2 linked regions of the Cricetulus griseus genome follow. The protein of the gene in region 1 purifies or fractionates together with the protein of each later gene. This does not show direct contact. Links are inferred from orthologs where the notes say so. Each region holds a gene or a part of one and is shown in the gene's direction. Other genes may lie near its edges. The genes, in order: Kat6a and Csnk2b.

Region 1 (3,809 bases):
GGATTGTTTGGTGTTTTAATGGCTAACTTCTTGAGTTCGTTTTGTATTTTGGAAACCAGTCCTCTATTAGATGTGGGGTTGGTGAAGATTTTTTCCCATTCTGTGGGCTGCCATTTTGTCATGTTGACTATATCCTTTGCCTTACAGAAGCTTCTCAGTTTTGGGAGGTCCAATTTATTAATTGTCAATCTCAATGTCTGTGCTACTGGTGTTATGTTTAGGAAGCCGTCTCCTGTACCAATTAATTCAAGGGTACCTCCCACTTTTCTCTTCTAAGACGTTCATTGTTGAGGTCTTTGATCCATTTGGACTCAAGTTTTGTGCATGATGATAGATATAGATCTATCTGCTATCTTCTACATGTCAGCATCCAGTTATGCCAGCACCATGTTTTGAAGATGCTTTCTTTTGCCCAATGTATAACTTGAGCTTCTTTGTCAAAAATCAGGTGTTCATTAATATCAGAATTTTCAATTCAATTCCATTGGTCTACCTGTCTATTTTTGTGCCATTACCAAGCTGTTTTCAAGACTATAGCTCTATAGTAGAGCTTTAAGTCAGGGATGGTTATGCCTCCTGAAGTTCCTTTATTGTACAGGGTTGTTTGGCTATCCTGGGCCTTTTGTTTTTCCATATAAAGTTGAGTATTGTCCTTTCAATGTCTGTGAAGAACTGTGTTGGGATTTTGATGGGGATTGCATTGAATCTGTAGATTGCTTTTGGCAAGATTGCTATTTTTACTGTGTTGATCCTACCTATCCAAGAGCATGGGAGATCTTTCCATTTTCTGGCATCTTCTTTAATTTCTTTCTTTAAAGACTCAGAGTTCTTGCTTTGTAGGTCTTTCACTTGTATGGTTAGTGTTACCCCAAGATATTTTATGTTGTTTGTGGCTATTGTAAAGTGTGATATTTCTCTGATTTCTTCCTCAACCCATTTATGGTCTATATATAGTGGGGCTACTGATTTTTTTGAGTTAATCTTATATCCTGCCACTTTGCTGAAGGTGTTTATCAGCTGTAGGAGTTCCCTGGTTGTCCAGGATCTTATCTGACTCTTGAGTTAAAGGGTGATGGAGTAACTCATTACCGGGCTGGGTGGTCTCTGGTGTTAGTCGGCCTTGCCAGTTGCTGAATGCTGAGTGCTAACTAAGTGAGGTGCTTGATCACCTCCACTAAAAGAAGGAATGCTAAGGAGGCTCTGAACATCAGTGGGAACTTGTTCAGGAACCTTCCTGAATCAAGCCTCTAATGGATCTTAGTCAGTAGTCTATTCTTTTTGTTGTTTTGTTATTTAAGTCACTTGCTGTACATAGGTCAGGCCTGCCTCAGCCTGTTCACTTCTGGGATTACAGGTGCACAACCCAGCAACTAGCTATGCATCACTCATAAGTGGCAACAATAACAGAATGGGCTGAGTTATATGATGTAGCTAGACTTCTAGTCATTTACTTTTAAAATAGACTTATTTTTACTTCACATTCAGACAGGCAGCAGCTGAGGCTCATGTGATATGAGGTAGGAAGAAACTAGACTTTTGCATTCTAGCCTAGATTTTGTGAAGCATTGTGTTGTCTACACCTTCATTGTGTTTGCTGTGAATGGTCTCAATCTGAGGTTTTTTATTTTCACAGGTGAATTTGAAGAAATCAACATTGCTATGTACTCTTTTACTTTATCTTTTGCCTTATTTAGTGGAACTTTTTATTTTCTTAAAATTTGGACTTGATATGTAGTAGATAGAACTTGGATTTTTCAGACAGGAGTTGTAGCTTGGTGGTGATTGGCCCTGAACTCAGTCCCTAGAACCAAAAACAAAGCAACCAAAAAGTCCTTGTGGCATGTGTTGTGTATGTATGTATTTGTATTTGTGTGTCTATGTCTGTGTGTATAAATGTGTGCATGTATGTATATGTGTATGTATGCATGTGTATGTGTACATGTGTGTATGTATACTTGTGTTAGTATATGTATATATGTGTTTACATTTGTGCATGTATGTATGTTGAGTGCGCATGAGGCAGGGGAAGACAAAAGAAGAATTATGAGTATGTGTGACACAGTCTAAATATGAAGTCCATGCTGGCCTCAAATTTGTGACCCATTTGCCTTAGCCTCCTAAATGTTAAAACTCACACCGTACCAAGCACACATTGTCTAATTTTAAGGCTTATTATATGATGTGTGCTTTTAATGTGGTGATAATTAGTCTTTGCTTTTTTCTAAATTATGATCCAGAGTTTTACTCTTGTCATATATTGATGTATATAGGAAACTTACTCTGCTGCGCGCGTGTGTGCGTGCGTGCGTGCGTGCGTGTGTGTATGTGAACTGACACTTGGTGCTCTGTCTTGGATCACTGTGTGTTACAATAGTGTCCCAGATGTAAGCCACTGTGACCTTGACAGTTTTCTCTCATACAACTATTGCCTTTGTTGACTTCCCAGTTATATCACAAACACACCTTTGACTCTCTCTCTCCATGCTCATAGCCTGTAAAAATTAATAGTAATTGAGAATGTATTTAATGCCACTGAACTCTACTTTAAAATGATTAAAATTTTATCTTACATATATTTTGCCCCAATTTAGAAAAAGTAATGCCAATGCTGAATTTATTCCCTCTACATATTATTAGCACTTTGACTTTTCTTATTTGTTTAGTACTGCATGTCAGTGTTTAAAACTAAATGCCTTGCACTTGTTCCCATATAAAACACATTGAGTAACAATTGTTTACAGGAATGGCTCAATTTTGGTCTACAGGAAATGGCTTATGATACTACTTCAAGGAATGATTTTGTGGAAACTTAAAAAAAAAAAGACAAAGAGGTAACAGAAAAGCAAACAAAAGAGGCTGATTTTTAACTTGAGTTCACTCTCCTGCTGCTCGTTACATACATACTCATAGAGTTTGACCTCCGACTGCTTTAACTAGTAGGTGGTAGAGTCATGTCACCCAGGATTGTTTGTTTTGCCAGTTCATTGTATAACTTTATGTGTTATTAATCTGCCTTATTTCTTTGATTCTTCTGTTATACATGTTGGTCTCAGAGAAATACTAGTCTTGTAACCTGTCTTTACTCTCTTATTTTTTCTATGCAGACACTCCTATTCTAAAACCAGTATCTCTCTTGCGAAAATGTGATGTGAACAGTGCTTCACTTGAGCCAGATACCTCTACACCTATGAAAAAGAAAAAGGGATGGCCCAAAGGCAAGAGCCGAAAACCTATCCACTGGAAGAAAAGACCTGGACGAAAACCAGGATTTAAATTGAATCAGGAAATCATAGCTGTTTCTACGAAAGAATGCATAATTGAGCCCATAGTTCCCATTAAACCTGGGCGTAAACCCAGAACTCAAGAAAATGAAGAAATGGTTGAGGTAAAAGAGGACTTGCCCTTGTTGGAAGAAAGGAAAGAGGAGATGCATACAGAAGCAGATGAGGAGGAAGAGGACACGACTAGCAGTGACATTAGAGCCATGTCCCCATTGGACAGCAGCAACAGCCCTGAGGCAGAACCCAAAGAACCCGAGGCAGATGAGGAAGATGAGAAACCCTTGGAAGAGCAAAGGCAATCTGAGGAAGAGCCTCAAGAGCTTGAAGAGCAGGAGCAAGAGGAAGACGATGAAGTGACTGCAGAGGCCAACCAGAACGAAGACCATGATGCAGATGATGAGGATGATGGCCATCTGGAGTCTCTGAAAACAAAAGAGCCAGAGGAGCAGCCAGCCAGAGAAGACCACAAGGAGGAGCCTGGCATTCCGGAATCTTTTTTAGATGCAAACATGCAGGACAGTAGGGAGA
Region 2 (4,239 bases), on another chromosome or scaffold:
TCTACTCCCTTCTCCCTTCAAACAAAAACAGCAGGCTGTCTCTGAAAACCTTTTCCCACCCTGTAACACATACCGTTAGGGAATATCGGCCGGGACTTTTAAATCTTGCTCGATCTTACGTGGGGCTGGGGGGGGGTGTCTCCTTTTCCCAAAGAAAAACAGGCGTGACATCATTCCAGAAGGTGTCGGGGTAAAAGCGTTGCACTGTCACTTCCGTACCGAAAAATGGCGCTCTCGTCATCTGCAAGAGTTGACACAATCCGACACCCACCTGGCACAGAGACGCATGCGCAGCAGCCAACCACAACAAAACACCCACAAGGTTCAGTTTCCCGCGCTGGAACCTTCCCAAGCATCCGCGTCAGGCATCGCGTGCCCAGACAGCGCGAGGGCCCAGGGGGACCTGTCGGTTGGGGTCCTACTTTTACATAACGCCCCCACAATGCTCTTCGCCACCCTCGACGTGGTCCCTCCCGCTCCAAGCCCCTCTTGTGGAGCCGGGAGGCCTGAGGACGCCAGGGAGCCGCGGGATGCCGGGCAGCCGCGAGACGCGCTAACACCACGGCGCCCCTCACCGCTACTCCGAGCAGGGCTCGAAGAGCAAGCAGCTCACGTGGGGTCCGCAGCAGCAGCAGCAGCAGCAACAGCAGCAGCAGCAGCAAGCAGCAGCAACACATGGAGAAGTGCAAAGGGATGAGCGGCAGAATGGCAGGCGCCACCTCAGGTTAGCGCGCGGGGCGGTGCAGCAGGTCCCCCGCCCCCGCCGCCCGGCTCGGCAGCCCAAGCCCTGCGACCTCAGCCCCGCACTCCGAGCCGCACCTCCGGGCCGCATGCCTGGTCCTCGGCGACGGTGTCAGTCCCCGGGGCGGCAGGGACGACCGGAGCGGGACGGAGCGGGCGCGCAGCGGGGACCTCAGCGGCCGCCGGCGCCGGCTCGCAGCCTGCCGAGCCCAAAGCGCGTAGGACTATATTTCCCAGGCTTCCCGGTCGGGAAGGCGGCTGTAACCTGGCTTCCGCTTCCGGTGGAGGCTCGGCTCGCCCCGCCCCCAGGCGGCTTCCGCTAGGGCCTCGCGACCCCGGAGTCATGCGCGCGGACTCTTGGGATTGGTGGTTCGCCGTCCCCGCATCGCGTCACTTTCTGCCTCTCTACGGGACTCCATTTCCCGGCGTCCCTAGGGGCAGGGGCGGTCCTCGGCGCCTGCGCGTTGCCCTCTCTCCCTCCCCACCCTCCCCAGTTCCCCTTCCCCCCTCCCCACTTCGCCTGCCGCGGTCCGCTCGGCTTCCTGCGCTGTAGCGGTCGCTGCGGTTCCTTCGAAGCTCGGCTCCCCTTCCCCGCCCCAGTCCCAGTCCCCGTCCGGCCGGTGAGTCTGCGCTCGTCCCCGCGCCGCGGCGCCGGGCTCCGCGCTCCGAGATGTGGGGGCGAGGAAGGAAGGGACCGGGTCGGCGGCCGAAGGAGGCCGGGTGGCCTGAGGAGAGGAGCGGCTGTGGGGACGCTCGTGGGTCCCGCGGGGGTGCGGGGCTCCCGCCGGCGCCGCGAGGCCCCGAGAGGCGGGCTCGGGGGGGAGGATGGACTCGGGAAGCCTCGGGACGGGCGCCAGGCGAGTGCCTCGGTGGGGCCGCGCGGGCCGCGCGCGGCCGGGGGCCGGGGGGCCGGGGGGCCGGGGCCTGGCCTCGCGCCGGGCAACACCCACAGATCGGGACCTGTCACCCCCTGGGAAGGAGTGGAGCTGGTTCTCACCACGCTGTCGGGGGGCTGAGGTAAAGAAGAGAGGCGTGGAGAGCGGTGCTTCACGGGCCGGGGCCACTCAACGCCAGTGGCCTCGGATTCCTCCGCCGTTGAGGAGACCGTGTGTGTGGGAGGAGGGAAGAGACCAAGAAACAGCCTGGTCTCCACTTAACGCCCTTCTTCCTCAGCCGACGTAAAGATGAGTAGCTCTGAGGAGGTTTCCTGGATTTCCTGGTTCTGTGGGCTCCGTGGTAATGAGTTCTTCTGTGAGGTGAGTTTAGCTGGCTTTCTGGGCCCTCTCCACGTGCCCTCGGTGTTTTCGTTGTATGTTGTCTGAGATGAGATTTCCCCCGAAGCTGACTGTGTAGCCCAGACTGTCCTTGAACTCCTGGCAATCCTAGTGCCTCAGTCTCCTGAGCGCTGGGGTTCACTCTGTGCATGGCTAACAGAGGTATCGCTGGTGACCGTCAGGAAAGTTAAAATGTTTCATGTAACATGAAAACCACAGTGTGGTAACGTAGGAAATGATCAATGCCTGTGAGAGTCTGATGTCCCAGAGCAGAGAGCAAACCCGGGTCCTTTAGAGGAGGGAGACAAGTTGAATAATGCGCTGTACCTTGTTGGCCCGGAAAGAAGAGAGCTGCGGTTTCTGTGGGAGACGGAACACCTCTGCAGAAGTGAGAATAGGAAACAAGGGGAGCCGATGCGGTCGTTTGTCTCCTGGGCCAGGTGAAAGACGGGGCTTCCCACACTAGTTTCAACCTCTTGACTCCCCTGTCCCGGTAGGTGGATGAGGACTACATCCAGGACAAGTTTAATCTGACTGGACTCAATGAGCAAGTGCCTCACTACCGGCAAGCTCTAGACATGATCTTGGACCTGGAGCCTGGTAACGTGCCTGCCCCCAGGGCCGTCGCTGCGTGTGGGGTCCATGATATGTGCACTTGTGTGTGCTTTGGTTTCTTCTTATTCTGGTCTCTGCTCGCTTGCTTCTTGAATTTTTCTCTTTTCTTTTTCGGTTTTTCCAGAAGGGTTTCTCTGGCCTTGAACTCACAGAGATTCACCTGCCTCTACCTCCCGAGTGCTGGTGTTAAATGCATGTGCCACCACTGCCCAACCGCTTCTTGAATTTCTAAATTTCCTTTTGATTCTCTAGCTCTTCTGTCTATTCCCGAGTCTCTTGCTCGCTTGTTTGTTTGTTTATGTGTTTTCTCCCCCACCTCTCCTCTCCATTCATAACCCAAACTGGACTTTACCACTTGCTCTTCCTGCCTTGGCCTCCACGTGCTGGGTTTTGTATGGCACATACACCACTGCCTGGCTTCTTCATTATTTTGATTCCCTACCTGACCCTTGCCTTCAGGGACTGGTAACATTTGTTTCCATGCTCTCCAAATGTAACTCCACTGTCTCTCACAATGCCAGTCTTCTGGTGTGTTGTGTGCTGCTGCTTTCCTCCTGCTGGTCTAGAGTGCCACCCTCTGCAATTATGTTTATGTGTTGGGAAGGGGAAGAAGCTGGCAGAGACTAGAGAGGTGTGGAGAGAGGGCAGTGCTGATGGCCTGGGTGATGGATAGGGTGTGTCAGAAACAGGTGCTGGATAAACTGTAGGAGGCCACCTTGGGGATAAGGTGGGGTACAAGTGGCCATCCCACCTTTCAGATGAAGAGCTGGAAGACAACCCCAACCAGAGTGACCTGATTGAACAGGCAGCGGAGATGCTTTATGGGTTGATCCACGCCCGATACATCCTCACCAACCGAGGCATCGCCCAAATGGTGAGGCTCTGCTCCTGCTTCTGAGGCAGTGAGACAAACAGGTGCATGAGGCAGAAGGCATGTTTCGTACCTGTCAAGAAGTCTAGCAGAGGAGACGAGGAGAAGCCCAGAGCTGGGCTGAGAATCCAATCCTCACTGAGGGTCCTACTGAAGGTATTGTTTTCAGGGAGGGAGATGAGGCCATGGATAGGGAACAGAGAGAGCAAATGGCCCTTGTGTTCTGCAGCCTGCCAACTTGAGGAAAGCAGTTGAGAAGGAAGCTTGAGGACCTGTCTTGACAAAGAAGGGCTTCTAGTTAGAGGTGGGAGGCCTGGGAGGTGGGGAAGTGAGGTGCTCTGCACACGTACTCACCAGTCCCTTCCATTTTGCACACCTCAGTTGGAAAAGTACCAGCAGGGAGACTTTGGCTACTGTCCTCGTGTGTACTGTGAGAACCAGCCAATGCTTCCCATCGGTGAGTGTTGGAGAGGGGAGAGGAGGGCACTACTTGCCAGTCAGGTTGATGTGGTCAGTGCCTGAGCCCTGTGGGAGGGTGGGAGGACTTGGGGTACCTGGTCTTCAGGGTCTGGCTGTGTCCCAGGCCTTTCGGACATCCCAGGCGAGGCCATGGTGAAGCTCTACTGCCCCAAGTGCATGGACGTGTACACACCCAAATCATCAAGGCACCACCACACGGACGGCGCCTACTTCGGCACTGGTTTCCCTCACATGCTCTTCATGGTGCATCCAGAGTAC

What was found.
Region 2: the proteins of Kat6a (region 1) and Csnk2b purify together in Homo sapiens (affinity purification with mass spectrometry; 3 studies listed by BioGRID and IntAct, with this or other methods). This does not show direct contact. The link is inferred for Cricetulus griseus from reciprocal best matches to the Homo sapiens genes KAT6A and CSNK2B.

What each region holds. Positions count from the first base shown.
Region 1 is NW_023276807.1:60,781,049-60,784,857, reverse strand, and holds part of Kat6a (histone acetyltransferase KAT6A), read left to right. Parts: intron 1-3,104; coding exon 3,105-3,809. UniProt on the Homo sapiens protein: Histone acetyltransferase that acetylates lysine residues in histone H3 and histone H4 (in vitro). Component of the MOZ/MORF complex which has a histone H3 acetyltransferase activity. May act as a transcriptional coactivator for RUNX1 and RUNX2.
Region 2 is NW_023276806.1:231,642,748-231,646,986, reverse strand, and holds the start of Csnk2b (casein kinase II subunit beta), read left to right. Parts: upstream 1-1,212; 5' UTR 1,213-1,361; intron 1,362-1,914; 5' UTR 1,915-1,925; coding exon 1,926-1,997; intron 1,998-2,512; coding exon 2,513-2,615; intron 2,616-3,388; coding exon 3,389-3,504; intron 3,505-3,882; coding exon 3,883-3,958; intron 3,959-4,084; coding exon 4,085-4,239. UniProt on the Homo sapiens protein: Regulatory subunit of casein kinase II/CK2.